Saccharomyces cerevisiae S288C: one gene and its partners. The gene in region 2 interacts genetically with the main gene of each other region. Each region holds a gene or a part of one and is shown on either strand. Other genes may lie near its edges.

Evidence for each region.
Region 1: mutations in FIT2 (region 2) and AVT3 together harm fitness more than expected from each alone (negative genetic interaction), as found in Saccharomyces cerevisiae (one large-scale study listed by BioGRID).
Region 3: mutations in FIT2 (region 2) and HXT2 together harm fitness more than expected from each alone (negative genetic interaction), as found in Saccharomyces cerevisiae (one large-scale study listed by BioGRID).
Region 4: mutations in FIT2 (region 2) and RGI2 together harm fitness more than expected from each alone (negative genetic interaction), as found in Saccharomyces cerevisiae (one large-scale study listed by BioGRID).

Annotation. Positions count from the first base shown.
Region 1 is NC_001143.9:167,368-176,644, reverse strand, and holds AVT3 (Avt3p), read right to left. Parts: upstream 4,863-9,277; coding exon 2,784-4,862; downstream 1-2,783. Other genes in the region: DNA-directed RNA polymerase III subunit RPC25, read left to right, coding at 164-802; proteasome regulatory particle base subunit RPT1, read right to left, coding at 1,029-2,432; succinate dehydrogenase flavoprotein subunit SDH1, read left to right, coding at 5,516-7,438; DBR1 (RNA lariat debranching enzyme), read left to right, coding at 7,816-9,033; MCR1 (cytochrome-b5 reductase), read right to left, coding at 9,193-9,277. UniProt on the Saccharomyces cerevisiae protein: Involved in amino acid efflux from the vacuole to the cytoplasm. Capable of transporting large neutral amino acids including tyrosine, glutamine, asparagine, isoleucine and leucine.
Region 2 is NC_001147.6:1,055,931-1,063,703, forward strand, and holds FIT2 (Fit2p), read left to right. Parts: upstream 1-3,600; coding exon 3,601-4,062; downstream 4,063-7,773. Other genes in the region: FRE3 (ferric-chelate reductase), read left to right, coding at 1-1,750; YOR381W-A (uncharacterized protein), read left to right, coding at 2,493-2,660; FIT3 (Fit3p), read right to left, coding at 4,511-5,125; FRE5 (putative ferric-chelate reductase), read left to right, coding at 5,634-7,718. UniProt on the Saccharomyces cerevisiae protein: Involved in the uptake of non-siderophore and siderophore sources of iron. Has a role in the retention of iron in the cell wall and periplasmic space.
Region 3 is NC_001145.3:286,126-295,167, forward strand, and holds HXT2 (hexose transporter HXT2), read left to right. Parts: upstream 1-1,953; coding exon 1,954-3,579; downstream 3,580-9,042. Other genes in the region: ANY1 (Any1p), read left to right, coding at 1-192; translation initiation factor 3 subunit CLU1, read left to right, coding at 5,009-8,842.
Region 4 is NC_001141.2:244,926-252,495, reverse strand, and holds RGI2 (Rgi2p), read left to right. Parts: upstream 1-4,099; coding exon 4,100-4,594; downstream 4,595-7,570. Other genes in the region: YIL055C (uncharacterized protein), read left to right, coding at 1-454; VHR1 (Vhr1p), read right to left, coding at 583-2,505; YIL059C (uncharacterized protein), read left to right, coding at 5,581-5,946; YIL060W (uncharacterized protein), read right to left, coding at 5,670-6,104; U1 snRNP complex subunit SNP1, read left to right, coding at 6,937-7,570. UniProt on the Saccharomyces cerevisiae protein: Involved in the control of energetic metabolism and significantly contribute to cell fitness, especially under respiratory growth conditions.

The DNA of each region.
Region 1 (9,277 bases), on a different chromosome or scaffold from region 2:
TTCAGTCGCGTTATACGGATTAGTTAATTTCGTATCATAATAACGAATATTCAAGCCATGTGCAGAAATAGACGCAAGAAGCGTTATTCGGAAGAAACTATCGGGTAGTATAAAGACATTCTGTAGTACTATTTAAATTAGAAAATTCATTGAACAAGGTAATATGTTTATCCTTTCAAAAATCGCTGACTTGGTACGAATCCCGCCCGATCAATTCCATCGCGATACAATATCGGCAATCACACATCAGTTAAATAATAAGTTCGCCAACAAGATTATTCCCAATGTCGGTCTATGTATTACGATTTACGACTTATTAACCGTCGAGGAAGGCCAATTGAAGCCAGGCGATGGATCATCCTATATTAACGTTACATTTCGAGCCGTTGTTTTCAAACCGTTTCTAGGTGAGATAGTAACTGGATGGATTTCTAAATGTACAGCAGAAGGCATAAAAGTTTCACTGTTAGGTATATTTGATGACATTTTTATCCCACAAAATATGTTATTCGAAGGGTGCTATTATACCCCTGAAGAAAGTGCATGGATTTGGCCCATGGATGAAGAGACGAAACTATATTTCGATGTAAATGAAAAAATTAGATTCAGAATCGAAAGAGAAGTTTTTGTTGATGTGAAGCCAAAATCACCCAAAGAACGAGAATTGGAGGAAAGAGCTCAATTAGAGAATGAGATTGAGGGTAAGAATGAAGAAACTCCTCAAAACGAAAAACCTCCAGCATATGCCCTATTAGGTAGTTGTCAAACTGATGGCATGGGACTCGTTAGTTGGTGGGAATGATAGATAAGGACGCCACTGACTTCAATAAAACATTTAATAATAATAGTAACAGTAATAATGAGGATAATAATATATAATAAACGTGAATTTTCTTTAGCATTATATACGCTAATTCTTTCTCTATTTGAGGGGATACTCTCGTATCCTTTTTATCTCGATAGTTGTAGTTGTACTTGTTGTTTTTATTAACCCTTCTCATAATATATAATAAAAAAGTACATTGACGTCAATTATATTGCATATAACGCGATGTGGAACTAAACTTCTTGTATCCGCTAATAACTTTATCAACAGCCTTCAGGAAATCCTTTTCAGTAGCCACCTTTCTTCTTGCTCTAATGGCAAACATACCGGCTTCTGTGCAAACAGATCTTAATTCTGCACCGGTAGAGTTTGGACACAGTCTGGAGATAAGTTCCCATCTGATGCCACGTTCCACACTCATTGATTTAGAGTGAATACGGAAGATATTTGCACGACCTTCCAAGTCAGGTAATGAAAACTCTACCTTACGATCAATTCTACCGGGTCTCAATAAAGCTGGATCTAAAGTGTTGGGCCTATTGGTGGCAAACATCACTTTAATGTTACCACGAGGGTCAAACCCGTCTAACTGTGTAATCAGTTCTAACATAGTTCTTTGAACTTCATTATCACCACCAGCACCATCATCAAAACGAGCACCACCAACAGCGTCGATTTCATCGAAGAATATAATGCAAGCCTTTTTGGTACGAGCCATTTCAAATAATTCTCTAACCATACGAGCACCTTCACCGACATATTTTTGCACTAGCTCAGACCCAATGACCCTAATAAAAGTTGCATCAGTTCTATTAGCAACAGCACGAGCACATAATGTCTTACCAGTACCAGGTGGCCCATATAATAAGATACCCTTTGGTGGATCAATACCAAGAGTAGCAAATCTTTCTGGAGATAATAAGGGCAGCTCGACAACTTCTCTCAGCTTTTCAATTTGGTCTTTACAGCCACCGACATCGCTATAAGTAACGTCAGGCTTTTCTTCAACGGTCATCATAGTAACTGATGGGTCAATCCTTGGAGGCAATGGAAGTTCAATATTATATTTCGACCTATCGACACCTACACGCATACCTTCTTCTATATCTGTTGGAGAAACACGTTCACCTAATCCGACGACAAATTTGGCAATTTGCTTAAGATTTATCACGTACTTGGCATCTTCATCGTCTTCGTCTGCATCAGTAGACTGTTGATTGCTATTACTATTGCTATTGCCGCTGTTATTATTATCTGTCGTAGTTTCGTCACTTTCACCATTCCCCTTAATGATCTTCGTGCAACGAGCGACTTGTAAGGGATGTTCTTCGCCCAGTCTCTGCCTATCACCCATAATATCCCATAGATGGGAGGGTGCTAACCCTGTATCGCTTTCTTTCACACCGGCCTTTTCTTTGATTCTCGCTTCAATGTCTTTTAAGTCATTCTCAGTTTGCTTTAATTTGGCTGCGTATGGAGCTGCACCGTATGATTTTAAGACTTGAATGTCACCTTCTGTTAAGGGTACGATCTTGTCATCATCAGGTTTTTTATCATCGTCTTCCAAAGGTGCCTTGTATTTTTCCCAGTCTTCTTTTGGTGGCATTCCGTATAGTTCCTAACTTCCTTGATTTATTACGATGGTTCAAAAAAATATCTCAATTGAATATTGCTTTGAATTCTCATCTCCTTGGAAAATACTGTATATACCCAGTTCTTTGTATAGTAAGCTGCATGCTAGTTTAGTTTTCGGGTGGCAAAATTCGGTAATCCTATTCACTATACCTTTTCCTCTCGTCCGGGTAAACTCAGCCATACCAAATTGACAAGGATAGTACATTTATGCTAATCATAATTAAAACAAGGTATGTGTGTTCCAGATGCATATAGATAACGAGTCATATATAAATATATATATATGTGTCTGTACATGATGTACTCGGTCAAAAATGGCGGATTACTGGCTCCACATTTTAATCGTCTGCCATGACGTGTAGGCCATGACAGCAACTCCAAATACTATGACGATTAAATCTAAAAGAAGCCTGGCTCTCGAGGTTCCAGATAAGATGGACGCCTTATAGTGCAACAATGGCGGGTATATGTAGATCAATGGGATACACGCGAAGGAGCCTACCAGTGATACAAATTTGTCCAAATCGTTGGCGCCTACCCAAGCGAGGATAGATGTCAGGACGACAATAGCGCAACGGAAATAGTTTTTCAACCATTTGACTTTCGGGTTGTATTTACCAGATGCATTTGAGGGAAAAGTCCAGTTTTCCAAAATACGTATCGCGGGAAATAGCTGCAACGGCGTGGATAACAAAATGGCTAATGCATACAGTAATTGAACAGTGAGAGTATAGGAAGTGTCCTGCGGAAAATTCAATAAAACAACAGTTTTCACGTCAGATCCAAAAGCGGCATAGCATAAGAGACCACATGATATGAAAATCACTGCCACGATACACATCACCGCGGACAACGATGGCCGGAAATGCTTCGGGTGTTTCATTGACTCCTGAATGGGGATAAGTAGGCCTATACCTTCAAAGGTGAATATGGCGGTACCGATGAACAACGACCAGTCCGCTTTATTGAACATAAGCATTGTATCGGATGCGACACCATTAACAGCAATATAATAAATGGAGTAAACGTAAACATAAACCAATCCCAGTAGAATAAATAGATCTGCTATTAACGCGGTCCCACTTAACTTGGCTATGTTTCTTGTCAAAGATAGTGGGACAAAGATGAGTACTTGTGCAAAGATATAGGTGGCTAGACTGATGCTGCCCGGTTTCAAATGGAAGAAATTTTCAGAAAAGACCTGCAAATTAGTTGCAGTGAAAACAGTGTATGCAGCAGAAAACCCGATTTGTGACAAGGCGATAGACGAAAGAATGGCAAATTTCATTTTGGGCCCATATAGTATACGACCCATGTCACCGTACCCATCTACGCCTACTTTGTCCTTGGTGGTAATCAATGATACGAAACATCCATAAGAAATGAGGGCACACGAGAGTAGACAAAGGGCGCTAAATCCCCAACCACCGTTATGGAAAGCCTTTGGTAGGAAAAGCACACCTGTCCCAACAAATGACTTTAACAAGAGCAGCACCGCCTTTACCGTAGATGATTTGTGAGGATGGCGCCCGTGTTCACGAGAAACTAGCTGGGTGCTTTCCGTTTCCAAAGCTTCCTCCTCTGGCTCCTCTTCAGTTTCTTCCTCCTCCTCCTCTTCTTCCGATAAATCTTCACCAGCGAAGTGGCCATACAAGGTCAAAAATTCAATAAAGTTCCTGGTGAAAAAATTCGGTATGGGCGCATCAACGTTATGTTTCCTGCGCTTCTGTATTATAAAAGATCTTCTGAATCCACCAGGAGCCCTGATTTCTTCGTGCGTCATCGGTGCGGGCGCCAGGCCTATTGCCGCTAGAGGATTCCCATTCGCCTCCGAGTTGTTGTTAAGGTGAGAGGAAGATGCTATAGAAGCGGCAGAAAAGCTCATAGACCTTTTACGATTCGAGAATGAGGGCGCTTGTGAAGGTATTGAGGTGGAAAGTGCAGGTTGACTTGGGTACTGATACTGCGATGGTGATGAAGGATGGTCGTTTGTCCACTTATACAGATCTCTTGTAATGTCTCCGCCTTGCAATTGTAGGCTGTTACTCGGGTTTCTTATCAAGTGGCGTGCCACGGCATCTACCACATGTGGCTCAGGGTTATTTATGCTCACTTCAAGCGTGCCATTGTTACAGGAAGTGTGCGACGCGTCGGGTACGCTAGCATGCACCGCTTCATTGTTCACAAGCAGCGGCGGCTTTTTTAGCAAACCACCTGTAGTTCCACTAGATTTTCTACTTCTGCTTCTACTTCTACTATTACCGTTGCTATTGCCACCGTTGCCGTCCGTTAAAGGTGAGCCAGACGCATGCGAGATTCCTGTACTGCCTCCGTTGTTATTTTTTTTGTTGTTGTTGCTCTGCGTTCTTCCAGAGCCACTTGAAACCTCTTTTCCATTCATATCCGCGATGCAATCCCTTATACGCTTCTTAATAAACTTTGCTTCCCACTCTTTCACTACTGACCATCGATCCTTCTTATTTCATAGCCTCACGAGCACAAATGATAATACGAGAAAAAGGCCCGACCGGGTAACCAACCCTTTTACTATCTCTCGCTCTACCTTTAGTAATAATGTCGTCTATATAAGGATTTACTCATACAGTAGTCCAAAATATACCTTTCCGTGCTAAAAGTAGCTCCCAAAAGTAGCGGAGGTGAGGATCATCCTCTATTGCCAGGTACCAAGCTCGCTGGAAAGTCGTTATGGAGTCACGGCTTTGAGGGCGGGGGTGGACCAATCACAGCGCAGAACGCGGCGCCGAGCAAGCGCTGGACCAAGGGATCCGGGCCTCTTCTATTGGTTGTTTGTTTGCTCAAACCCGTTATATATTCAGGCATCCTCGACTCTAACCTTTTGCCACGTCGAGGCGGCTTGAAGCTTAAATAGCACTAATAAACTAGTAGACACATTATAACTAACCAGTAGTATACTTTGCACTTTCGATATTCTTTTCACTAATCTCCTCCCCAACCCCTTATTGAAGATAAAAAGAAAGAAAGAAAGAAAGAAAAAAATCCAATTTCATAGTACGAAGAAGAACGAGAATAAAGATGCTATCGCTAAAAAAATCAGCGCTCTCCAAGTTGACTTTGCTCAGAAACACAAGAACATTTACATCGTCAGCTTTGGTGCGCCAAACGCAGGGCTCTGTAAACGGTTCCGCGTCCAGATCTGCAGACGGGAAGTACCACATAATAGATCACGAGTATGACTGTGTGGTAATCGGTGCCGGTGGTGCCGGCCTTAGAGCGGCCTTTGGTCTTGCCGAGGCGGGCTACAAGACTGCTTGTATATCCAAGCTTTTCCCCACCAGATCCCACACTGTTGCTGCTCAGGGTGGTATCAATGCCGCTCTGGGAAATATGCACAAGGATAACTGGAAATGGCATATGTACGATACTGTGAAAGGATCTGATTGGCTAGGTGACCAGGACTCCATCCATTACATGACCAGGGAAGCGCCCAAATCGATCATTGAACTGGAACACTATGGTGTTCCTTTTTCAAGAACTGAAAACGGTAAGATCTACCAAAGAGCCTTTGGTGGTCAGACCAAGGAGTACGGTAAGGGTGCTCAGGCCTATAGAACATGCGCTGTCGCAGACAGGACAGGACATGCTCTTTTACACACGCTTTATGGCCAAGCTTTAAGACATGACACACATTTCTTTATTGAGTACTTTGCCCTCGATCTGTTGACCCATAATGGCGAGGTCGTTGGTGTCATCGCTTATAATCAGGAAGACGGTACCATCCACAGATTCAGAGCACACAAGACCATTATTGCCACTGGTGGCTATGGTAGAGCATACTTCTCTTGTACCTCTGCTCACACATGTACGGGTGACGGTAATGCCATGGTTTCGCGTGCTGGTTTCCCCTTGCAAGATTTAGAGTTTGTTCAATTCCATCCTTCAGGTATATATGGGTCTGGTTGCTTAATCACTGAAGGTGCTCGTGGTGAAGGTGGTTTTTTGGTTAATTCTGAAGGTGAAAGATTCATGGAACGTTACGCTCCTACGGCCAAGGATCTAGCTTGTAGAGATGTCGTTTCCAGAGCAATCACCATGGAGATCAGAGAAGGCAGAGGTGTTGGTAAGAAAAAGGACCACATGTACTTACAATTGAGCCATCTACCTCCGGAAGTTCTAAAGGAAAGATTGCCAGGTATCTCTGAAACAGCAGCCATTTTTGCTGGTGTAGACGTCACCAAGGAACCTATTCCCATTATTCCTACCGTCCACTATAACATGGGTGGTATTCCCACGAAGTGGAATGGTGAGGCATTAACCATTGATGAAGAAACTGGCGAAGACAAGGTTATTCCCGGTTTAATGGCTTGTGGTGAAGCCGCTTGTGTTTCTGTCCATGGTGCCAATAGATTAGGTGCCAATTCCTTGTTGGATCTTGTTGTCTTTGGTCGTGCTGTTGCCCATACGGTTGCTGACACTTTACAGCCTGGGTTGCCACACAAACCACTACCTTCTGATTTGGGTAAAGAATCCATCGCAAACTTGGATAAACTAAGAAATGCTAATGGTTCAAGATCTACGGCAGAAATTAGAATGAATATGAAACAAACTATGCAAAAGGATGTTTCCGTCTTTAGAACACAATCATCTTTAGATGAAGGTGTTCGGAACATTACTGCAGTAGAGAAGACCTTTGATGATGTGAAGACGACCGATAGATCAATGATCTGGAATTCTGACTTGGTTGAAACTCTGGAGCTACAGAACTTATTAACCTGTGCCTCCCAAACAGCTGTTTCCGCTGCTAATAGAAAGGAATCCCGTGGTGCTCATGCAAGAGAGGATTATCCAAATAGAGATGACGAACATTGGATGAAGCATACATTATCCTGGCAAAAGGACGTCGCTGCCCCAGTGACTTTGAAATACAGAAGGGTTATCGATCACACTTTGGACGAAAAGGAATGTCCTTCCGTACCTCCAACTGTAAGAGCCTACTAATTTGAACCTCATTGTATTTTACGGAAAAGAATATCATACTCTTCTTTAATTGCACTTTTTTTGTGCGTTTGCACTTTTTTACCACTGACTCACTAATTTGTATATATACCTATTAATATACATTTACATAAAGTTTCTTCTTATACATACTCTATTTATTTAGTTATTTATTAACTTACTATTTATTTATTTATTTATTTATTTATTTATTACTTTCAATTTTTTATCGAGGCATTTCCTTAGTTCTCCAATTTTTTTTCTCATTAGCCAGATGTGTGTTTTTCTGGCCCTCACAAAAAATGAGCAGGAGAAAGTCATATGGCGAACGTAAATATGTAACTAAAAATTAAGATGGGCAGACATTTATCATTTTGCTTATGACTAAATTGCGAATTGCTGTACAAGGGTGCTGTCATGGTCAGCTAAACCAAATTTATAAAGAAGTGTCACGAATCCATGCGAAGACTCCCATCGATCTATTAATTATTCTTGGAGATTTTCAAAGTATTCGTGATGGTCAGGATTTTAAGTCAATAGCCATACCACCAAAATATCAAAGACTCGGTGATTTCATATCATACTACAATAATGAGATTGAAGCCCCAGTCCCTACTATTTTTATTGGCGGTAATCATGAATCGATGAGACATTTAATGCTTCTGCCACATGGTGGTTATGTAGCAAAGAACATTTTTTATATGGGATACTCTAACGTTATATGGTTTAAAGGCATAAGGATAGGTTCATTGAGCGGGATATGGAAAGAGTGGGATTTCAATAAGCAACGACCAGATTGGAATGACCTAGAAAATAACAATTGGAAAGCTAACATAAGAAATCTGTATCATGTAAGAATTTCTGATATTGCTCCTCTTTTTATGATCAAGCATCGTATTGATATTATGCTGAGCCACGATTGGCCCAATGGAGTCGTTTATCATGGCGATACTAAGCACTTGTTGAAGCTTAAGCCTTTTTTTGAGCAAGATATTAAAGAGGGAAAACTAGGCAGCCCAGTGACCTGGCAACTACTAAGAGATTTGCGGCCTCAATGGTGGTTGAGCGCCCATTTGCATGTCAGGTTCATGGCCTCCATTAAGCATAATAAAAGAAGCCACGAACCGCCTAATAAGTCAACTTCAAAGACAAAAAAAAACAATAATGAAATAGATTTGGATTTATCCAGTGACGAGGACGAAAGGTCTGGTATTATGAATTGCCAAGAAGAGAATGAGTATGATTCCAAATACGGCGAGACACGGTTCTTGGCGTTGGACAAGTGCCTGCCAAGAAGACGTTGGTTAGAAATTCTGGAAATAGAACCGGATACATCGCATGCTTCGTGGAAGGACGAGAATCACCGTATGTTCTGGGATCCTGAATTTATCAATAATTTGGTAATTTGTCAAAAAAATAAGAATCTCCTAAGCAATAAACCGTTTAATAGCGTCAATTGGATAGAACTGTCTCAATCTAATAGAGAGGAAGGAAGGGATATTGATTGGGAAAATTATGCCATTCCTGCATACACCTTAGATATTCAGAAAGATGAAGTACGACAAACTAAAGCATTTATCTCTAAATTCATGACTTGAGAGATATTTCTATTACGAATGCAGACGGAATTAGAGCTTAAAGCCAAGCCTTCTTGAGAGAATTTTTAGTCATACACATGAATATATATATATTTTTTATATATTTACTAATTTGAACGATCCGAAATTAAAAAAAATATCAATTACTTTCCTCCATGCTTAAAATTTGAAAACTTGGTCCTTGGAGTAGCCCAAATTGTTCAAGATACCGATCAATTCACCTTGGTCCTTAGGTGACTTCTTC
Region 2 (7,773 bases):
TGAAGGTAGCGCGAATCTTACGTATCCAATCGAGATGGATGCCCAAGTGAGAGAAAACTATTATTATTCTTACCATGGTTTCTACGCCAACTACGACATTGGTCATACTTATGGTGGTATTATTTGCGCCTATTTTGTAGGTGTTATGATTCTTGCCAGCATACTCCATTATCTAAGTTACACTCCGTTTAAAACTGCCTTATTTAAACAAAGACTTGTAAGATATGTGAGAAGATATTTGACAATACCTACTATCTGGGGTAAACATGCGTCGAGCTTTTCTTACCTTAAAATTTTTACAGGCTTCCTTCCCACACGATCTGAAGGCGTCATTATACTTGGATACCTCGTGCTTCATACAGTTTTTCTGGCATACGGGTATCAATATGATCCTTACAACTTAATTTTCGACTCTCGTAGAGAACAGATTGCTCGATACGTGGCAGATAGAAGTGGTGTCCTGGCATTTGCACATTTTCCCCTAATAGCTCTTTTCGCAGGAAGGAACAATTTTCTAGAATTCATTTCTGGAGTAAAATATACCTCTTTCATAATGTTTCATAAGTGGTTGGGAAGAATGATGTTTTTAGATGCTGTGATTCATGGCGCTGCTTATACCAGTTATTCCGTATTCTACAAAGATTGGGCAGCAAGCAAGGAAGAGACATATTGGCAATTTGGAGTAGCTGCTCTTTGTATAGTTGGTGTTATGGTGTTTTTTTCTTTGGCAATGTTCAGAAAGTTTTTCTATGAAGCCTTCTTATTTCTCCATATTGTGCTTGGCGCATTGTTCTTTTATACGTGTTGGGAGCACGTCGTAGAATTGAGTGGGATTGAGTGGATATACGCTGCTATTGCTATCTGGACTATTGATAGGCTAATTCGAATTGTTAGAGTATCTTATTTCGGTTTCCCTAAGGCTTCCTTACAGTTAGTTGGCGATGACATCATTCGAGTCACAGTCAAACGACCAGTAAGGCTATGGAAAGCCAAACCAGGACAGTATGTTTTCGTTTCATTCCTACACCACCTGTATTTTTGGCAGTCACATCCTTTCACAGTCTTAGATTCAATTATCAAAGATGGTGAGCTGACTATTATCCTGAAGGAAAAAAAGGGAGTAACAAAACTTGTCAAAAAGTATGTGTGTTGCAATGGAGGTAAGGCATCTATGAGACTAGCTATAGAAGGTCCATATGGCTCTTCATCTCCAGTCAATAATTATGATAACGTCTTGCTACTTACGGGAGGTACTGGTTTGCCAGGGCCCATTGCACACGCCATTAAACTTGGAAAAACGTCAGCGGCAACTGGAAAACAATTCATAAAATTAGTGATTGCAGTTAGAGGGTTTAACGTACTCGAGGCTTACAAGCCGGAGCTGATGTGTCTAGAAGATCTTAATGTACAGCTTCACATCTACAATACAATGGAAGTTCCGGCATTAACTCCTAATGATAGTTTGGAAATTTCTCAACAAGACGAGAAGGCCGATGGAAAAGGTGTTGTTATGGCAACTACCCTAGAACAGTCACCTAATCCAGTTGAATTTGATGGTACTGTTTTTCATCATGGAAGACCCAATGTTGAAAAGCTTCTGCATGAAGTTGGTGACCTAAATGGATCGTTAGCTGTGGTTTGTTGTGGGCCTCCTGTTTTCGTTGACGAAGTAAGGGATCAAACGGCAAATCTTGTTCTAGAGAAGCCTGCAAAGGCAATCGAATACTTTGAAGAATACCAAAGTTGGTAATCAATTACCTTATTTATTTCCTCACTATTTTACCTATCACAAGTATATATTTAATTGTTTTGACCTGAAACATAATTTATGTCTAGCTGCAATGAAGACAATTGATCGACTTTCACAAACTTTTTCAATCTACTAATCTTTGGAAGCATTTTTTAACTGTCTCCCACTCTTGTTCCATGACTTAAATTTCTCTTCCTCCAAATTAACTGAATTTTTTTTCTGGATTGATGTTCTTTCCAATTGTTGTGGTAATCCACAGCTGGTATAACATAAAAAGAAGTTTTTTGTAAAAAAAAAAAATTTCTCAGTAAGCATATAAGCCTCAGTGAAATAAAATTTTAACAACTACACGCTATTCTATTCCATTTGCCCTGCTTTTCTCGCTTCGTTATCACCTAACCACTAAGAACATACTAATAATACAAAATTTTTATCCACTTTTTACCAACAGATTTTCATGAAATATCCATCTTCTTTCCGAATTCTGTATAAAATGAAAGAGAGATTTTTTGCTCTCAATCCAGGCTCAAGGCTCTTGAGAACAGGTAATTGTTGTTTAGCACGTTTTCAACACATTTATCAGAAAACGACAGTTAAAAATAAGACGAGCGGCGTTATCATCCTGATAGTCACTAAATGAAAAGCAGGTACTTTTGAAGAGCACATGTAATATTTGCTCAACTGATAATACCTTCATTTTATACACACTTCTAATTTTTTTTTTAAAATCAGATACGCATTGATGTTCAATGTAGCATTACCATCACAAGACAAAAAATCAGAATTTTACAAGCAAAAGCGCTTATCTTTAAGGACCAACATATTAGATGAATTCTTAAGGGTTGCCAAAACGCAAGACAACAGGCAAAATAATTTCGTTTCTCAGTACCGAAATGACGAAATATACTGAGGCAAATGCGATCATCATGCCTTTGCGCCAAGAAACTCCCTTGTGAAGAACTTCAAACCGAAATGGGAAAACTTTGAGTTATTGACAGGGAATACGGAGGGGAAGATCACACTTAAATCCGTATGAGCCGCGCACATAATGGTATTCAAATACACAAGAACATTCATGAGCTATTTTTCATCCGTGCAAACGAATTTACTACAATTGGACCAGAGGGCACCATAACTGGAGACTTTGCTACTGACTCAACGTTGATGATGCGAGTAGTGGGTGTACTGTGATTTGCTCATTTTTTTTTTTATAGAAAGATTCGATTAATGAAAGTCACAGGAGACATTTTTACATAGACATTCCGTATATGTTGCGGGTATCGCGGATGCGGATTAGTGATGCCTTTAACTACATTTCATAGATTTCTGTATACCAATTGAAATGAGTGAAGTAAGCTCCTACAGTGAAATATCTGGGTGCTACTGACGCCAAGCCCTACAGCGATCGGAATGCGGGAACGGAAGTTAACGGGGCTTCCAGAACGGCGGAAGCGAATTGAACGAGGACGGCAAACAAAAACACCCAAAATTTCATTACTTAGAATGACCCTCAAGAGCAGGGTGCAATTTATCAAGCGATCATTGAACTAACTAAGTTCATATCCTGTATAGGATTTAAAACAATGCACCCTAAGTTCAAATGCACCCCCCCTCGCCCCGCAGCGGACCCTTGAACAGAGAACTGTTTCGAGGTTCACCCAATTGGATCACTTGTATAATTTGTAATCGAGTTCGGATAAGATGTATACGAATCTAACTGGGTGCAGTATAATTAGCATTTTATATTACCTAGCAATATATGTATAAAACAGGAATGTGTGCGTGCTTCAGGCAGAATTTTACGGTCCTTGTAAAAAAGTCTATCATAAAGCCATCACAAAACAATAATAATGAAATTCTCAACTATTTTCGGAGCTACTACAGTTATGACTGCCGTCTCGGCAGCAGCTGTGTCGAGTGTAATGACCACTAAGACTATTACTGCTACTAACGGTAATAACGTTTACACTAAGGTCGTTACCGACACCGCTGACCCTATCATTAGTTACAGTACCACTAGAACTGTCGTTGTCAGTAATAGTGATGCTACTTACACAAAGGTTGTCACCGAAGGACCAGATACCACCTCTGAAAAGAGTACAACAAAGACACTTACTTTGACAAACGGTTCAGGTTCATCAACCAACCTTTACACCAAGACCGTCACTCAAGCCGTCGAATCATCTACATCCTCCTCATCCTCCTCATCCTCCTCCTCCTCTTCTGCCTCTTCTTCTGGTGCTGCTCCTGCTGCATTCCAAGGAGCAAGTGTCGGTGCATTGGCCCTTGGTTTGATTTCTTACCTATTATAAGCTCGGTTTCAAACCAGAAAAAAGCTATTAGTTATCGTGTATAGCATATTTATAACTTATCTATGAAAAGCTAATATAATTGTCTTTCTCCTTCAAAAGGCTAGTAAAAAGGACTTTTTTTCATTACGTTTCTCAGTGACTTCAATGTAGCAGTTTTTCGTTTCATCATCATCATCGTATTATTATTATTGTTATTATTATTATTATCATTACTTTTATTAATATTAACTATTTTTTTAGTATGATTTCGGGTATATTTATTTTAATTAGATACTTTTAACCGTTTCAAACAATTAAAGGAAGACCAACGAACTTGAAACAGTATATATACATACATACTTAATGTGTGTTATTAAAATTTTTTTATTCTAACATAACTTCGAAAAAAGGCCAAGCCGCAAGGTGCTTCATAAAAATCGGATATCCCGCATGATTATTCACATATCATTTACAATAACATGACGGCAGCAAGGGCAGCACCCATCAAACCAGTACCAGCGGTGATGGCATCAGCAGCACCGGTGTAACTAGATAATTCAGCGGTGCTAGAGGATGTAGCAGAGGAAGAAGTTTCAGCAGTGGTGGTTGCAGTGGTTGAAGCAGAAGAGGTAGCAGCTTCTGAGCTGGTAGAAGTACTACTTGGAGACCAGGTGTTGCTGCTGCCTTCACCAGTCCAGACAAAAGTAGCATCTTGGGTGACAGTCTTAGTGTAGACGTGACCGTTCTTGGTGGCAGTGATAGTGGTAGTGATACTAGAACCAGAACCTTCATCAGCAGAAGAAGTCTCAGCAGCAGAAGAAGTCTCAGCAGCAGAAGTGGTAGCGGCAGCAGAAGTGGTAGCGGCAGCAGAGGTTTCGGCGGCAGAAGTTTCGGCGGCAGAAGATTCAGCGGCAGAAGTGCTGCTGGCGTAAGAGTCTTCACCACCCCAAACAAAAGTAGCATCTTGGGTGACAGTCTTAGTGTAGACATGACCGTTCTTGGTGGCAGTGATGGTGGTGGTGATACTCTCAGCAAGAGCAGTAGCGGCAACAGCAGATAGAACCAAAGCGGAAGAGAATTTCATTTTAGGGATTATTGTTATTAGTTATTTTTAAGCGAGTGGAAGTACTTGTTTGTATCTGTTCGAACATTCATATTACCTCCTAATACTTCAAATAGTTCTTGGCTTAAATACCCCATAAATCAACTTTTACAAAAAAAAAAATAACAAATCTCGAACGATAATTGAACCCCATTTTTTTGCACCCTTTCCTAGAATGGCGGAACTCGGCTCTTGAGCCCTTAGATTGCTTTCCTTCACATACATCAAAAAATATGGGATAGCGGGGTGCGGAACAAACAGGGTGCAAAAAAAAATCTAGGACATAGGTAGGACTAAGAAGACTGTGGCATTACTACACAGCAATCATATTTTACCGCTTCCTCGTTTAATTGGATTTTTACTTTTCATTACATTAGCGATCATTAAAAAAGGAGCGTCAATTTTTTACTTGGCAAATGTGTAATGTAGCGTTTTCGGTATGTCACATCACCAATTTTGTCGCAGTTAATTTAATTCACCCAGATTTCGAATGCTTTTCGCTAGATTAGTGCTGCTGTTGGTGTATTTGGCACCAGGTTCTTTAGCAAAACCAGCATCAACTAAGAAAAGAACGCAATGGGACCAGATAGCAATTGATGCTTGTGCTAAAGAATTGGAATCACACAAATTTGACACGGATGTGAAGGGTCGGCACGCTACTCTTTGCACTTATGAACCAGCACTAGGGTCTTGGTTACATTGCGCGAAGGATGTTCTCGACAGTAGGAAGAAAAGTAAAAAAATATTCGAAAAAACGTTTAGCAAAATTAATCAGTATTGCCACGATTATCACAAAGATGAGGTCGTCAGCAATGAGGAGTATTATCGAATTTTTGCCAATGCATCCCTTTTCATCCGGCCTCTTGATGAGGTAAAGGAAAACATACGATATCCCGTCACTCCCAATAAAGCCTCTCTAGATAGGTGGGTATGGGCTTATTTTGGGCCCCTGGATAATATAGACAAAGGAAATGTTTATGGAGTGACGATTTGCTTATACTGGATAGGAGTTCTGTTTATTGCAGCTGTATATCACTTCTTGAACTTTTCTCGACTTAAACAAACGGTGTTCAAAAACAAGGTGTCTGCTTTCTTAAGAGGCCACTATGTTCTTCCAGCGCTTGTTCATAACCATGCTATGTCAGTGGGAAGGTGGTTTTTCATCGGTCTGGTCCCTACCAGGTTAGAGACCCTTGTCCTATTCGGTTACGTTTTGTTGCACGGGTTCTTGTTGAGTAGTTACAATTTTGACCATAATGAGTTGCTCAGTGATCGCAGAAGCCAAGTGCTTATCTTCCTTTCCGACAGGGCAGGGATCCTGGCATTCGCACATTTTCCTTTGATAGTTCTCTTTGGCGGTAAAAACAGCACAATGACTTGGCTCACAGGTATAAGATATACCGCATTCATTACTTACCACAAATGGTTAGGAAGATTCATGTTAGTAGACTGTACGATCCATGCAATAGGATACACCTACCATGCATACATAGAAAATTACTGGAAATACGTGAAGTATAGTGATCTATGGACATCCGGAAGACATGCCATGATCATTGTTGGAATACTTGTGTTTTTTTCGTTCTTCTTCTTTAGACGACATTATTACGAATTGTTTGTTATTACGCACATTATCTTAGCAATAGGATTTTTCCATGCGTGCTGGAAACATTGCTATAAACTTGGATGGGGTGAATGGATAATGGCGTGTGCACTGTTTTGGATTGCTGACCGTATTCTGCGGCTAATAAAGATTGCAATTTTTGGAATGCCATGGGCTAAATTGAAACTGTGTGGCGAGTCCATGATAGAAGTGAGAATCTCAAAAAGCTCCAAATGGTGGAAAGCAGAACCTGGCCAATATATATATCTGTACTTCTTAAGACCAAAAATATTCTGGCAATCACATCCATTCACGGTCATGGATTCTTTGGTTGAGGATGGTGAGTTGGTAGTTGTGATAACAGTGAAAAATGGGCTAACCAAAAAATTACAGGAATACCTTTTAGAGAGCGAAGGGTACACGGAAATGCGAGTACTAGCAGAAGGACCTTATGGACAAAGCACGCGAACACATTTGTTCGAAAGCCTCCTGTTTATTGCCGGAGGGGCGGGTGTTCCTGGACCTCTGTCGATGGCAATAAAGGCAGGTCGCCAGGTCAAAAGCAACGATTCTCATCAAATGATCAAATTTGTGTGGAGTGTACGTAACCTTGATCTCTTAGAAGTGTATCGCAAAGAGATAATGGTGCTAAAAGAGTTGAACATAGACACAAAAATTTACTTCACAGGAGAGCGAAAAGATGAATCGAACACGGAGGAGGGAGCAATTGCTAATATGAGCACGGAAGGCAGACTGCTGACGACATCGAAATCAGCGGAAATGATTACTGATTTTGGACGACCAAATATCGATGAGATAATTGAAGAAGCAGTAAGTGGTGCAAAATCTTTGTTGGTCACTTGTTGCGGGTCAGAGGGCTTTGTAGACAAGACACGAGAGTTGACGGCAAAAAGAGTTCTTGAACACGGTGACAAATGGATAGAATACGTGGAGGAATTCCAGAATTGGTAGCATTTCAATCCGCCCTATCAATGCTAACCTGTTACGAATACCAAAACCACAAAAA
Region 3 (9,042 bases), on a different chromosome or scaffold from region 2:
AGGCATCAACATCACCCTAATGACAGTAATTCGCCATCAGATGAAGATGAAAGCGAAATGTACGAATTAGATCTTTTTAATACCTTACAAAAGGATGTCGAAAAGGCCTTGAAACAGGATAGTAATGATACGTCAGATTCACCTCAAGATGACCAAGTGGGTAAATCTCAGGCACAGGCGGTAACGCTATAGAAATTTTCAGGTTTGCAAATAAAAAAAGTTGATAGAGAGGTTTTTTTATATTTTAGATATATGCATTCATAATTCGATATATACATGCATGCATATCTCGAGTACAATATTACCATTGTTGTAATTACTTGTTAAATATCGCCTCTTCTATTCATGTTTGAAAGGAAAAGAATGGTGTGGTTACACCTCGGGGAAGATATTTTCACGGGCATATGGAACTAATAAATTGAACGTCACGGTAATACTACATAATACAGTATTGGCTAAACAAAATGTGCCTGACGATATCAAAGTTTCTGTAGTGATATTCATTCCTGGTTTGCAGGCATGAAAAGATTAATATTGTCATTGAGCAATGTTCAATTATTGCCTTTTATTTAATAACATTCTACAACCTCTGTATATAATACATATAATTCCATTTGTATCCACAATTCTCTTCATGTTGAGATATATATCTTGAGGGGTATTCGTATCGCTTGTATACAATGATAATCGAGGTAAAACTCATGTACAGTAGTGCGGCATATTTTTCTTATTTAGTTTTTGTAGGCGGCATAGTATTACTTGCAGATTTTTTTAAAGTCCCTGAGCCCCAAAGTTCCAAAGCAACAAAAAAACATAAATCCTTTGCAGGAAAAGTAACATTTGGCAAAATTTCAACAAATTATGCCCCCCGAATTTAGCAGTGATCAATGTTAATTTGCCTACATGCTGATGCAGAGTTGTAGAAACAAAGAATTTTACCCTGTATGAAAAATTTTCTACCGATGTAATACAAAAATGAATCATCAAAATTTTATGACGTAGGAAAAGACAGAGAAACTTTCTATTTCTTTTCTGGAGTAAAAAATTAATTATCTATTTTACTTAAACGAAGATAGGGTTTCGTAATCACGAAAGAACAAGCAAAATTCTAGTTGACAGGTCAGTTAAGGCACAGAAAAAGAAATATTATTCATTACTATCAAGATACCGTAGAAAAGAAAAAGAACCGGGGATGAATAATAACAAAACGGGCTGCTTTTTCTTTTTCTCTTTCTTTTTCATTTGGTCCCTCTCCACTCTTTCTCCACGTGGCTTTGCTTTCCCCGTATTTTTCTTCGTCAGAGAGACTACATGATAGTCCAAAGAAAAGAAACGGGGGGACGAAGAAGAGGAGAGGAAAAACCAAAATATAATTTTCCGTGAAATAGATTCTTTTTCTCCACTGCACGACTTCTTCTCCTCCCACAAAAAATGACGCCTCATAGACAGCCCCGCAGCTTCACTTTTAAGTTTCTTTTTCTCCTCACGGCGCAACCGCTAACTTAAGCTAATCCTTATGAATCCGGAGAAAAGCGGGGTCTTTTAACTCAATAAAATTTTCCGAAATCCTTTTTCCTACGCGTTTTCTTCGGGAACTAGATAGGTGGCTCTTCCACCTGTTTTTCCATCATTTTAGTTTTTCGCAAGCCATGCGTGCCTTTTCGTTTTTGCGATGGCGAAGCAGGGCTGGAAAAATTAACGGTACGCCGCCTAACGATAGTAATAGGCCACGCAACTGGCGTGGACGACAACAATAAGTCGCCCATTTTTTATGTTTTCAAAACCTAGCAACCCCCACCAAACTTGTCATCGTTCCCGGATTCACAAATGATATAAAAAGCGATTACAATTCTACATTCTAACCAGATTTGAGATTTCCTCTTTCTCAATTCCTCTTATATTAGATTATAAGAACAACAAATTAAATTACAAAAAGACTTATAAAGCAACATAATGTCTGAATTCGCTACTAGCCGCGTTGAAAGTGGCTCTCAACAAACTTCTATCCACTCTACTCCGATAGTGCAGAAATTAGAGACGGATGAATCTCCTATTCAAACCAAATCTGAATACACTAACGCTGAACTCCCAGCAAAGCCAATCGCCGCATATTGGACTGTTATCTGTTTATGTCTAATGATTGCATTTGGTGGGTTTGTCTTTGGTTGGGATACTGGTACCATCTCTGGTTTTGTTAATCAAACCGATTTCAAAAGAAGATTTGGTCAAATGAAATCTGATGGTACCTATTATCTTTCGGACGTCCGGACTGGTTTGATCGTTGGTATCTTCAATATTGGTTGTGCCTTTGGTGGGTTAACCTTAGGACGTCTGGGTGATATGTATGGACGTAGAATTGGTTTGATGTGCGTCGTTCTGGTATACATCGTTGGTATTGTGATTCAAATTGCTTCTAGTGACAAATGGTACCAATATTTCATTGGTAGAATTATCTCTGGTATGGGTGTCGGTGGTATTGCTGTCCTATCTCCAACTTTGATTTCCGAAACAGCACCAAAACACATTAGAGGTACCTGTGTTTCTTTCTATCAGTTAATGATCACTCTAGGTATTTTCTTAGGTTACTGTACCAACTATGGTACTAAAGACTACTCCAATTCAGTTCAATGGAGAGTGCCTTTGGGTTTGAACTTTGCCTTCGCTATTTTCATGATCGCTGGTATGCTAATGGTTCCAGAATCTCCAAGATTCTTAGTCGAAAAAGGCAGATACGAAGACGCTAAACGTTCTTTGGCAAAATCTAACAAAGTCACCATTGAAGATCCAAGTATTGTTGCTGAAATGGATACAATTATGGCCAACGTTGAAACTGAAAGATTAGCCGGTAACGCTTCTTGGGGTGAGTTATTCTCCAACAAAGGTGCTATTTTACCTCGTGTGATTATGGGTATTATGATTCAATCCTTACAACAATTAACTGGTAACAATTACTTCTTCTATTATGGTACTACTATTTTCAACGCCGTCGGTATGAAAGATTCTTTCCAAACTTCCATCGTTTTAGGTATAGTCAACTTCGCATCCACTTTCGTGGCCTTATACACTGTTGATAAATTTGGTCGTCGTAAGTGTCTATTGGGTGGTTCTGCTTCCATGGCCATTTGTTTTGTTATCTTCTCTACTGTCGGTGTCACAAGCTTATATCCAAATGGTAAAGATCAACCATCTTCCAAGGCTGCCGGTAACGTCATGATTGTCTTTACCTGTTTATTCATTTTCTTCTTCGCTATTAGTTGGGCCCCAATTGCCTACGTTATTGTTGCCGAATCCTATCCTTTGCGTGTCAAAAATCGTGCTATGGCTATTGCTGTTGGTGCCAACTGGATTTGGGGTTTCTTGATTGGTTTCTTCACTCCCTTCATTACAAGTGCAATTGGATTTTCATACGGGTATGTCTTCATGGGCTGTTTGGTATTTTCATTCTTCTACGTGTTTTTCTTTGTCTGTGAAACCAAGGGCTTAACATTAGAGGAAGTTAATGAAATGTATGTTGAAGGTGTCAAACCATGGAAATCTGGTAGCTGGATCTCAAAAGAAAAAAGAGTTTCCGAGGAATAAGAGATTATACTTAAACTAGCACTGATTTTTTTAAGGCTAATGGCTACTAATACTTTAATAGATGATCTTCATACTTTTTTATTTAACGATTTTTAATGATGTTTTTATTTGTACCACTCATTTATCTAGATTTTTTTAATACTGATCAAATCTTACGGACTCGACGTTAAAAAGTTCCTACATACGTCTGGTACTTGAAACGCTGCTTCGAGGTATTGACACTATAAGAATACGATCCAAATACTTACACCGCATGTAAAAATATGCCGACAATATGAATACTTGTTGATGAATGATATTTGATTTTAATCCGGCAATTTACCTCCTTTATATAATCCAATAATTGTTGATAATTAGTGGTTAGGTTGCAGTACTAATAAGAATTAAGACAAATATTCTTCTACTATATAAAAGGTGCAAACAAAACACACGCCGATCGGCCATACTAAACAAGACCAACATAATAATGGTGGAACCATTTACTGTATTTTCAATGTAACGACTCATATCCTTATACATGAGACGTCAAGTTTCTCGTTGAAGTAATAATGAATCTTTAACTTTACTGTGCCACATATCACGTAATCATATATTGTTTTTCGCCTTCAAGCATCAATGGCGTATTGTGGCTGATTACTTCATATGATCACTAATTAACTAATTATGAAAAATAATAAATAAGTCACCAACCAAGCAAGGAAATTAGCTTCAAGTAAACAGTTGGTTCTTTCTGGCGAGTTAGAACAAAATTAAACAATAATCTATCGACTAGCATTCATATCACCAATATATCGTCATATACAGCGAAATGATTGCATTTACTGGATTGAATGGATACACTTTGAAGATGAACCTTTATCATAGTTGAAATGGGATAGCTGAGAAACTTGTGCATGATTTGATGATTGTTTGGGTTCAACCGTTGGGGATAAGGACTATAATATTAGGTACACAGAAATTCCAAATATATAAGTAGCAGTGCTTTATGAAACTATAATGTCAGAGTAGTTATGTAAAAATAGAACAATTGATATGATCGTTTCTTTAATAACTCGATAAGGAGTTCTCTACGAAAAATATCAACAGTGAAATATAATCCGATATAGTGTAACGGCTATCACATCACGCTTTCACCGTGGAGACCGGGGTTCGACTCCCCGTAGCGGAGTTTTCTTTTTGAAGAAATTTGAAAATTTTTTTCTTCACGTCGACCAAGGTTTTTTCCGGTCAAACATGGCCAATAAAACGGATACCATTTCTTGGAAATTATACGCTTCGAAGTATTCTCAAAAAAGGAAATTGTCTGCAGTGAAGATTGGATATAAGGTTCACTAAACACAGAGTAGTAATTGAGCTGTAATTTGTTTACAGAACGAATCAAATCAGCGTAGTGTTACAGTTTATCTGAGACTGCATATCTTTAATCTCTATGAGCGAGAAAAAAGAAGAAGTTAAAAACGCCACCGTTAAGGTGACTGTCAAACTTCCAAAAGAAGATAACCATTCGCATAATACGAAACATCTCAAAAAGACCCAAAGTTCAAAAAATAATGATATATCTTTTGAAATCGGCAAGGAATCCAAAATTCAAACTGTTCTAGATGTGTTGGCTATGATTCCAAGTTCCAAGTACCTGACAAACGTTGGGCTGAAAACAATTGAAGGTGACTCCCAGCTATCTGATGAAATGTCTATAAAGGAAATTGTTGGTGAGAAAAGCGAGTTAAAACTTCAATTGATACTGAAGCCATATAGCGCAAGAGAGGCTTTGAAACATGTGATTACTGTTCGCGATTTCATCGGATTTGCCCAAGAAACCTCAGATGGATTATCTGAATTTGCTATTTCTACTGGTTCAAGCTTTTCCTCGTTACCGTTGGGTCCTATCAAGGAACGCTCAAAACAAGAAGAAAAAGACGAGAAGAGCGATCCAGAAGAAAAGAAAAATACTTTCAAAGATGTGACTGACGAGGAAAAACTAAAATTTAACGAGATGGTTCACGAAGTGTTTTCTAGCTTTAAGAATTCTTCAATTAACAAACTTCTCACCTCTGAATCCAACATCATCACGCCGTGCGTCAGGTCTTTGAGTTTCGCACCTTACAATCCTGTACCTCCATTTTATAGAAGTAAAGGTCATCTATTTTACCTACAAATTGTCACTTTGGAAGGTGAGAGTTTCTATATCACTGCAATTCCATCTGGATTCTATGTCAATAAATCAAACTCAACTAAGTTCGATCCTTCTCCAAAAGAAAACACTGACGAGAACGCGCACTCATCCCTGATCTATTACAGTCTATTTGACTTGATTGCTTCTCGCTCTAAAAAATTCATTTCTCATGTCCAAGCATTCGAGAAAAAACTATCTGCTTTAGATTCTACAAGCTATGTAAGACCAAGCAATACTTTCTTGCATAAACCATGGTTTGTTTCTTCATTGCCACCAAATAACCCAGATTATCTGAGGTTACAAACTGCCGCCTTGGATACCACGCCAGAAAGAAACTTTAATGATGAATTTCAAGCCATTAAAGATTTGACTACGTCAACATTACAAGATCGTATTGAAATGGAAAGGTTGTTTTCTAAAGTTGTACATGAATTTTCTGTTACTGCAGCATCAGGCGCTATGTCAATTTTTTACAGTGATTTCGTTGCAATGAACCCAGAATCTCCAACTCGGGATCAAATTTTCTTAAAAGACAATATCTTTTATTCCTATGTTTCCGACGTTAGTGGCAATTATGAAGGGAAAGGTGGGGATGAAGCTGCAATCGCTGCTTCCAACCAAGACTTGAAGACAATCAATATTTTGAATCGCTTGCATATGCACGAAGTTCGTTATCTTTTAACAACTGTAGTCGAATTTGCAGGCAGAAGAATTTTGGCTCAAACTCCAGTACCTGGACTCTTAGCTACCATGGGTAACAAAATTGTAAAAGATGCTAATACCGGCGAAGAGGTTACCGAAGATTTTGTCAATGATATTAATGTAAAGTACGGCCTTGATGAAGGTTTGGGAAAGATTGTTTATGATGCTGACTTTGATTCTGTTTTAGAAAAAAAGTTTGTCAAGGCATTCCATTTGAAAAAGCACAAAGTCAACGGTACTGAATTAGCATTTTCATCGCAATCCAAGGGAATAGTTGGATTCGATAAGAGGCGCTATATTTTGGATTTAGCCAACACGTATCCCTTGGACATCAACTTTGCTAGACAAAACTTTGACAACATCGAAGAGACTGGAAACCGTTACCCACACAGGCAAACTTTGTTACGTCCGGAGTTAGTAGAAAAGTGGTGGAATAATAAAGTTGAGAAGGAAGGTGTTGAATTTGAAAAGGCCTATGAAGAAAATTTGTTTAGTTATAACCCTGATGCTTACCAGGTCGAAGGTATTGAGGACGCTAATGTTGACGAAATGTCGAACTACTTACAAAAAGAAGTTATTCCCAGCGTTATTCAAGATTATTTATCTGGAAATTTGAGCACTCCTTATAATGGTGAACATTTAGCCGATACTTTACATAAGAATGGTATCAACATGCGTTACTTGGGTAAAATTATCGAGCTTTCTCAAAAGGAATTGGACTCCCAAATTGTCCACTACGAACAAAATTTGAAAGCTGTTGAACAAGACAACAAAGAATATGAGGATTGGGAAAAATCTTATCTGCAAAAAATTGAGAACATGATTAAAGAGAGACAAGCCAAGATTAATAAGCTGGTACAAGAAGGCAAAGAGGTTCCAAAAGAACTAACTGAAGATTTGAAATTAAACGATGAAGAAATCAAAAAGCCCACCGATGGAAAACCTGTGGTCGTTGCCTATGATGAGCTAGTGCCATTAATTAAAATTTCCGAATTAGAAATTGTTTCGCGTTCTTTGAAACATGTTTTAAAAGATTTGAGTAAAGATGTTCCGGTCTTCTTGGTTCCATCACTGGTAGCATACGTTTTCAATATGTTAGTTGGTATCAACTACAATGCTGATCCGAAGCCAGAACCAGTCGACGAATTTTATCCAGTCAATAAGTGCTCATTTGCTAAATTAACACGCTCCGAATTGCTGGAAGCTGTCTCTAAACAAGCCTTCTTGCGTTTCCGTCATCAATTACCATCCAATTGGATCGAAGCTTACATGGAAAATCCTTTCACCCTCATTAGAAGTGTTTCTTACAAATTTGGTATTCAATTGCTCAATAAAGAATACTTCTTTACTAGAGAACAATTGGAAAGTTATAAGCAAAGTCTTGACAAGAAAATTAGGAACAAGTTTGTCGAACCACCAACTACCTTCAGTTTAAGCGATTTGACCATTATTCCACGTGTTAAGTTCTCAGAATATACTTCTTCAGTTAGTGAGGAATTTTGGGCTCAAGGTGCTTCTATGATCAACGAAGACAAACAAAGTGCTTTGACTTTACTCGCTCAATCAATTACAGTCTTAGAAGATGTTAACAATATTTTACATCCCGCCGTTGCTGAAAAGTACTTGTCATTATCTGCCATTTATAATAAGTTAGCATTATACCCTGAAGCTATCGCGTTCTGTCGTAAAGCATGTACTATTTATGAAAGAGTTAGCGGTATTGATTCTTTTGAAATGATGAGGGCTTTAACTAATTTAGCAATTCTAGAATTCTCTAATGAAAGTCCTTATAACGCTACTGTGGTTTATAATAGGCTCGCAGAAATCCTAAAAGTTTATGAGTTACCAAAAATCCATCACCCAGCCCCCACAAGCATTTTCAACCATTTGGAACAATTAGCCCTAGGTGTTCAAGATACCAAATTGGCTATTGAAGTCTTGGGACAACTAAGCTCCTATGTTGTGGAATTAGAAGGCAAAGATTCATTAGCATATGGCTATACCGAGTCACGTTTAGGTAATTTGTTTGCAGCATTGAAGGATTTCCACCGTGCATTAGAGCACATCACTGTAACCCAAGGGATTTTCACCAAGCAATTGGGTATGAATCACACGCACTCAGCCCAATCAAGACAGTGGGTTAATGGTTTAAGCTCATTAATAATGGATTTAAAACAAAAGAAGCAACTTGCACAAGATCAAATGTCGACAACGGGATCAAATTCAGCTGGCCATAAAAAAACCAATCACCGTCAAAAGAAGGATGACGTTAAACCTGAATTGGCTAACAAAAGTGTGGATGAGTTGTTAACATTTATAGAAGGCGATTCTTCCAACTCTAAGAGCAAAAACAAAACCAACAATAAAAAGAAGCATGGTAAGAAATAGAGAGCTAACTTAACAATCTCGTTTATTTATTATTTTTCTTTATATCTATAGCCCATACTTGTATATACTACGTGTAAGTACTAGATATAAAACGAAAAAAAAATACTTACAATTATTTTTTTTTCTTTACTGCTCTATTCTTTTCTTTATTCTATTCATAAATGCAAACAATTAGTTATGTAATTTTAAAAGTTGAAAAT
Region 4 (7,570 bases), on a different chromosome or scaffold from region 2:
TTTACTCAATGAATCTATGGACGCTCTAAAGATATCAGAAAATGAGAACACCAACGGGAGTGCAAATAATAGCACATACACAAATGGCGGACCTCGAACATCTATCAATAATACAAGGGAATTCTATGTAGGGGTTTATGAAGATCATGAAGAAGCAACTCTACTGAGGTTTGAATTACCGGAAGATGAATTAGAGGAGTTTAATAGAAATTTGCCAACTACTTTTGCACAAAGTGGAAACGTCTCTGACTCCGAAGGTGATAGCAAGGCGAAATACTTTAAAGTTAGCACAATTGTGTATAATGCCATTGTTGGGTTCCACGATAAAGAGCTGTCTGATTTGACGTTCGAATCCTTACAAGACCAGGAATATTCACTGGGGTACAAAATTCATGTAATGGAACTGCCACCATTTGACGAGGATGAATTTGAAAATCAACGGCAGCAGTTCTAAGCATGGATTAAGAGGATATTATTATTTTATCTTACATAAATATGTACGCGAATTGAAAAAGAAAAAAATATTGTGTAGAATGTGTATTAGGCAGTTATGTATGTAGACAATTTTGTTTTGTATTTTTATCAAAGTAAAGGCTGGAAAACCGGCTGTGGTAAATTGCCATTTTGAAAAGAATTTTTGTTCTTTGTAACGTATGGCGCTGGCACAGACTCGTTGTGGTCATTATTATTTGTGTTGGAGGTGGAGGTGCCAGTGTTTAAAGTAGTGTTGCTATTTTCTTCATTCATTGGCGATTTAGAGATCCTATTAAGGATGTTATCAAAGGCAGTTAAGCTTGATTTTTTTGGATCATCTTTTTCTTGTGGTACCAATGGAATAGAAGGCATAGAGGGGTTTTCACCTATGCATGACATTTTGGGCAACGTAATGGGCACTGGTATTTTTGCATCTTGTAGTGGAATGGTGGAAATGTCCTTAATTACGAGATGAATCTCGCTCGTGGAAAAGGAATCAAATAACTTTGCCAAACTTTCATCGTTCAAGAGGTTATCGTTATGGAAAATACCAAAATTCTTGTTCTTGTTGATAATATTAAATAAATTTTTACAGTTTTCCAAAACTTCAGACACCGTGGGTGGTCCATTGCTCAACTGGTGGAAAGTAAAGGCTTGCTCGCGATCATTAAATCTAATGATCACTCTGCGATTAACATCTTTATTGGCCGATTGAGGCTTCATTGGTAGCGTAGTTAAAAGTGTAGCTCTATTCGATAGAGTGTTATTATTATTCAACATAACGTCACTTGAAACGACAGGAGGGCTTCTCTTAACCCTCTTGTTAGGTGAAGATGATGGTGGTTCTGACGCACAGGAACTAGCCAAAGGATACTGAACCATCACAATATGATGTATGATTTCACTTAAAGGGTAAAGCGTGGGGTCGAAGCCAAAATCCTTGACAATACCACCTATGACCAAATACAGTAGCCTTAGTTGTACCTGAGCCGCGGGGAAATGAGATAAGTTATGTCTTGTAGCGGCACCGAACAGTCTTTGAGACAACAAAGCCAGATTTTCAGGAGAGCACGTCTTGGCAGTGATATACTTCATTGAAGAAGAGACCAAGTTGGAGAAAAATCGTTCGATAACGAATGCAATAGACATTCGGATTGACATTTCACCCAAAATCTCCAGATTTGCGTATATATCAATGGATCCTGCAGCCTGCGAAATGTCCTGACAAGTTCTTGATCTTTGGATTTGTAGGAGTAACTTTTCCCTCAGGAAAAATGGCACGGTAGAATCTATCGGGATGTTTGTGGTAATGTTAGGTTGCTGGCTGAGTGAAGACGTAGCAAAATGTGACAGGTTTGGCCCAGTATATGGGTCCTTGAGAGCTTGTTCTGATAGGGGTACGACATTCGTAACAAGATCGTGCACTAGCATGGTGACTATATCGTTATACTTTTGTTGGGTCGAAGTAACCGATGGAGATGAGTCATTTTGGGTGCCCACGGTTGGAAAAATGGTTCCGTTATGACTCTGGTGACTCATGAGAGGCTGGAACTTGTTTGAAAACTGGAAATCTGCAGCATAATTAGAACTAGGCAGGAAGTCCGAATTGGAGCGCTGGTAGATCGACGGAGAGATCTCGTCGTCAGAAGTAGAATTTGACGAGATGCTGTTGTTGACATTGCCGCCACTGCCATTGGCTATGCTGAGAGCGTAGCGTTTTTTTGATCGTTTTCTATTCCTTCTCACTGATTGCACAGCAGCAGTGACTAACTTTTCGAATTCCTTAGAGCAGCTTACAGGGTATCCAAACTCCGTTCTTAATATTGTAGCAATCTGCTTTATGTTTTGATCTTGTTCGCTTGCCTTATATTGACTTAGTTGGAATTTGTCTATCAGCTCCAGCCTTCTGCTCGAAAACTGTTTCCATTTCTTTTCATCATTAAAATTGAGTAATTCTCTAATCTTATGAGTTGCTCCATTCCCAGAAAACTTATTTATTCTATATTGAGTGAATGTTGGAGGACCGTTCATATGTGTATAGGATATAAGCAACGAAGAAGAATAGGTAGAAAGAGAATAAAGAAGGTTTTAAAGCTATAACTAGTAGAAAAGAAAAATGTAGGAAGGGAATGCGGATGCGTTTATGCTAAGATGCGATGGGGACAATAGAAAAAGAAGAGAAAAAAAAGGAAGAGGAAGAGGTAGTGGTATAGAGAAAGAGAGAGAAAAAAAAAGGCTAGTAGTATTTGTATAGTAGGGAAAGGGCTAGATTAGAACTGAACCAAGCTGACCTGAATTGACTCAATAACACCATTCTCACCCACACAAGTACCGAAGATCCAAAAGGCAAGAATCATGGAAGAGAGCACATTGATTTATAGTAAAAAAAAAAAAAAGAGAAGACGACGGTAGAAAGATTTCAGGGAACATATGGCTTACACTTATGCTGAAGAAGTAAGAGGGAGAAGCGAAGCAAATATAATCTGTCACAATGCACAGTGCGCAAACGTAATCTGCCCACTCAGCTAATAGCTCCTGCCATGATTCTGCTGCGTAGTCTATATGAAAGGAAACGAAGGTCAGAGATGAAAAAGAGATAAAAAAGAAAAGAAACTTCTCCGAGGGGCGCAGAATTCAGGGCAAAACAACATGGAATCGATCAAAAGTCATAGTCACCCACGGAAACGTGGCGCCTATTCCGTGGCAGCTACCCGCCCGCCGCTTGTTCTCAGGGCACTTGTCCACTGCATTCCGATGTTCCGCGGAAATTAGCACGGCCTCTTATCCCCGGCTCCGCACGATTCCCTGTGTCCGTGCATAACGAATGACTCTTGTGTCGTGTTATCCGGGCTTTCTCCTTTTCCTTTCCCCGAGAAAGCAACCGACGCATACGGATATAAGCGGATCCCACCGAAAAGGAGACTCCACGGTCTTGGTGAATAACATCGCGCAGATTATTCTGCGAACCGTGGCTAATAGGAGCATGCCCGAAGAAATGATTATGGGTGCGTGATCACCAATCTGTGTGAGGCTGTCGAAGATATCTGATAATCAGTAAGCGATAAAAAAAAAATAAAAATAAAAAAATAACGACACCAGCAGGATTTGAACCAGCGCGGGCAGAGCCCAACAGATTTCAAGTCTGTCGCCTTAACCACTCGGCCATAGTGCCTAAAACAATGTAGGTTATTTAAGCAAGTATTGTAGATACTTTTCGTAATAAACTACAATGCACCCACGACTCGCGGTGTAATGATGGCATGAAATCATTGAACGAAGTTTTGCGGCTATACGGCTGAAGGACGAGACTAAAGGGACAGGAATTATTAATGCGGGGTATAATTTGAATAGTATTAACGGGCACTGCCGTTTAGCCATCAAATGCTATTGTTGGGGTATTCTCTCTACTTTTTGTTCTTGGCTTGAACCTTTTCGGCGGTTGGCAATCGTCCGTATATAAGCATCGGCTGTCCCAATCCTCTATTGCCCTTTTCCCTTGCACCTCCTTCTCAATTCTTCGTATCTTTCGCGTAAAGGTAGATCTTGATTCACCTATCTGTCGAAACACGATTAAGTGCAAACGAAACAACGTACAGTATATAACAAAGTATTTTAAATAATAAGAATGACGAAAAAGGATAAGAAAGCAAAGGGTCCTAAGATGTCCACCATCACTACAAAAAGTGGTGAGTCCTTAAAGGTTTTTGAGGATTTGCATGATTTTGAAACATATTTAAAGGGTGAGACGGAAGATCAAGAGTTCGACCATGTCCATTGCCAACTGAAGTACTATCCACCCTTTGTCCTGCATGATGCGCATGATGATCCGGAAAAGATCAAAGAGACTGCCAATTCGCACTCTAAGAAGTTTGTTCGCCATTTACACCAGCATGTTGAGAAGCACCTGCTAAAGGACATCAAAACCGCTATCAACAAGCCAGAATTGAAATTCCACGATAAGAAAAAGCAGGAATCCTTTGACCGGATTGTTTGGAATTATGGCGAAGAAACGGAGTTGAACGCCAAGAAATTCAAGGTGTCTGTCGAAGTTGTATGTAAACACGATGGCGCAATGGTAGATGTTGATTACAAGACAGAACCCTTGCAGCCACTCATCTAAGTTTGGGGAGCTGTTTTTATGAATTAACGAAATTTTATGAATTTACGAAATATAGCATGCTATATAAAATAATTTATATGCGCATGTATTTTGGTGTGCACCTTCTTACTGGAGTGTATACAAGTCTACAAATCAACACATGTGGTTTTTTTAATGTTTTGTCGTCACAACGCGACCTTAAATAAAAGAATTCCACGCTAGATTCATGCTACTATCACGAACAATACGTACCAATTAAGCTTTCTTGGTGTAATAAAAAAAGAGAAATGTACACACCACCATGATTCCGTTTACGTCTTGCTTTTCTACTTGTTTCGCTCATGGGTTCTCATCAGCTCTATTGTGTGTGCCCTCTTTGTAGATAATTAAACACATTGAAAAAAAAGAAAACGAAAAGATGGCACACGGCTTGGTCATCGAGTGAAGAAATGAAACTTCAAAAAAATTGCCGGACACTTAAACCTTAACGAGTTATACAGAACCGTATCCAGACCTGGAGCTGGGCTATAAGAAGAAGCGACAATATGGTATACTAAATTTCTGGACTCGTAGTCACTCAGTCTGTTTGTCAGTAAGTCACGTAGACCTGTATCGGCAGTAACTATGGTATTTTTTCCAGATTAATTATTATACGATGTTGTTACTTCGATAAGGTCACAACAGGTTTTCCATTGTTGAGAAACTGACTTTGATTATTATTTAGTTAGTAGGCAACTGTCATGTTGCAACCACAACAAGCAACAATCCTTTCACCATGACTATTATAAGCGGCCGGCAAAATTGCCGGGAAAACTGCCAGGGATATAATGCAACCTTCATTTGAGCACTTAAAATAGAAGATAACGTTGGTAAACCCCCCTTGATAGTGGACACATCCTACGTAGATCTCTCTACAGCCAAGTCGTATATATAGCAGCAAATTGCAACCAACCACATGGGACATAGGAATGAGTGGTTTTCTCAGACCCTGAACGTGACCGTCCATCATGAATTTCTCCACAGTTTTTCAAGCAATAATCGCGGTTTTAGGTTTAACTACAGTCACAGCTTTAGCAGAATTTGATTTCGACGTAGGCTATGAAGAGTTTGTCCGTACCAATCCTGATACGATTTTCTTAGAGAGTGATATTGGCCTGCACGTTGGATATACCGAGGGTGGCGAACGACAGATAGCAACGATACCACACAATTCCACGCTAGGGACTTCACTACGTGAGTATAGTGGCTGTGGTGGTAATGGTACAGAAACCTCCATCGCTACCCCCGCACCTACAATGAGTGAGGTACCTATCGCTACCTTCGTGAAACGTAGAAAAAGTGTACCTATCTTGCTACCGCAGGTATGTATGTGAAGAGTTGGTGAATTTTGAGATAATTGTTGGGATTCCATTTTTAATAAGGCAATAATATTAGGTATGTAGAATGTACTAGAAGTTCTCCTCGAGGATTTAGGAATCCATAAAAGGGAATCTGCAATTCTACACAATTCTATAAATATTATTATCATCATTTTATATGTTAATATTCATTGATCCTATTACATTATCAATCCTTGCGTTTCAGCTTCCACTAATTTAGATGACTATTTCTCATCATTTGCGTCATCTTCTAACACCGTATATGATAATATACTAGTAACGTAAATACTAGTTAGTAGATGATAGTTGATTTTTATTCCAACAGTATGGGAGGTATATGAACCCCTACAACCACTCATTTAGAAGTGGGGGACTGTAGTTCTTTTATGAAGTAACGAAATTTTATGAAGTAACAACAAATGTTGTTAATTGTAATCTTAATAATCTAACATTTAATAAATCTTGACCTTAGACTTTTTTGTCTATTCATAATATGCTGATATTACTTTTCTTAAATATAAATATAATCTATATAATATTATTAACGAAATGTAGGAAGCTAAAAAAAAAAAAAAAAAAAAGAAAGAGACTTTTATGCGTATATTTAGGTACCCCGGTACTTACTTCTGTATATATAAATCAGTGAATCAATACATATTTTTTTTTAATGTTTTGTCCTTATAACGCGACTTATTCAAAAGAAAAAAAGAAGTCCCATGCAAAAATCTTGTCATTATTGCGAATGGATATATCAGTGAGACCTTTTTAAGGTTGTAGGGAAAAGGAAGTACGCTTCATTACAATTTCGTTCATGTCTTGCTCGCCTACTTGTTTTGCTCATAAATCCCATCAGCACCATTGTATGCGCCCTTCGTAGGAAATTAACGCATCTGAAGAAAAAAAGAACTGCAAGATAATGACACACAGCACGGTCATCGACTGTCGAAAGGAAACCTTAAAAAAGTAATCGGCACCTCAACCTTGATGAATTATAATCTATCCAAGTATCCAGACGACGTGTCGAGACTTTTCAAGCCAAGGCCACCTTTATCTTACAAAAGACCAACCGATTACCCATATGCGAAGAGACAAACAAATCCAAATATCACTGGCGTTGCAAACTTACTATCAACCTCTTTGAAGCACTATATGGAGGAGTTTCCTGAAGGATCTCCAAACAACCATCTCCAAAGATACGAAGACATCAAACTTTCCAAGATCAAAAATGCTCAATTGTTAGACCGGAGACTACAAAATTGGAATCCTAACGTTGACCCTCATATCAAGGACACAGATCCCTACAGAACGATATTTATTGGGAGGCTACCATACGATCTTGACGAAATTGAACTGCAAAAGTATTTTGTTAAGTTTGGCGAGATCGAAAAAATTAGGATAGTCAAGGACAAGATAACCCAGAAGAGTAAAGGCTACGCCTTCATAGTTTTCAAAGACCCAATAAGTAGTAAAATGGCATTCAAGGAGATTGGAGTACACAGAGGTATCCAAATCAAAGACAGAATCTGCATAGTCGACATAGAAAGAGGCAGAACCGTTAAATATTTCAAGCCAAGAAGATTGGGCGGCGGCCTAGGAGGCAGAGGCTATTCCAACAGAG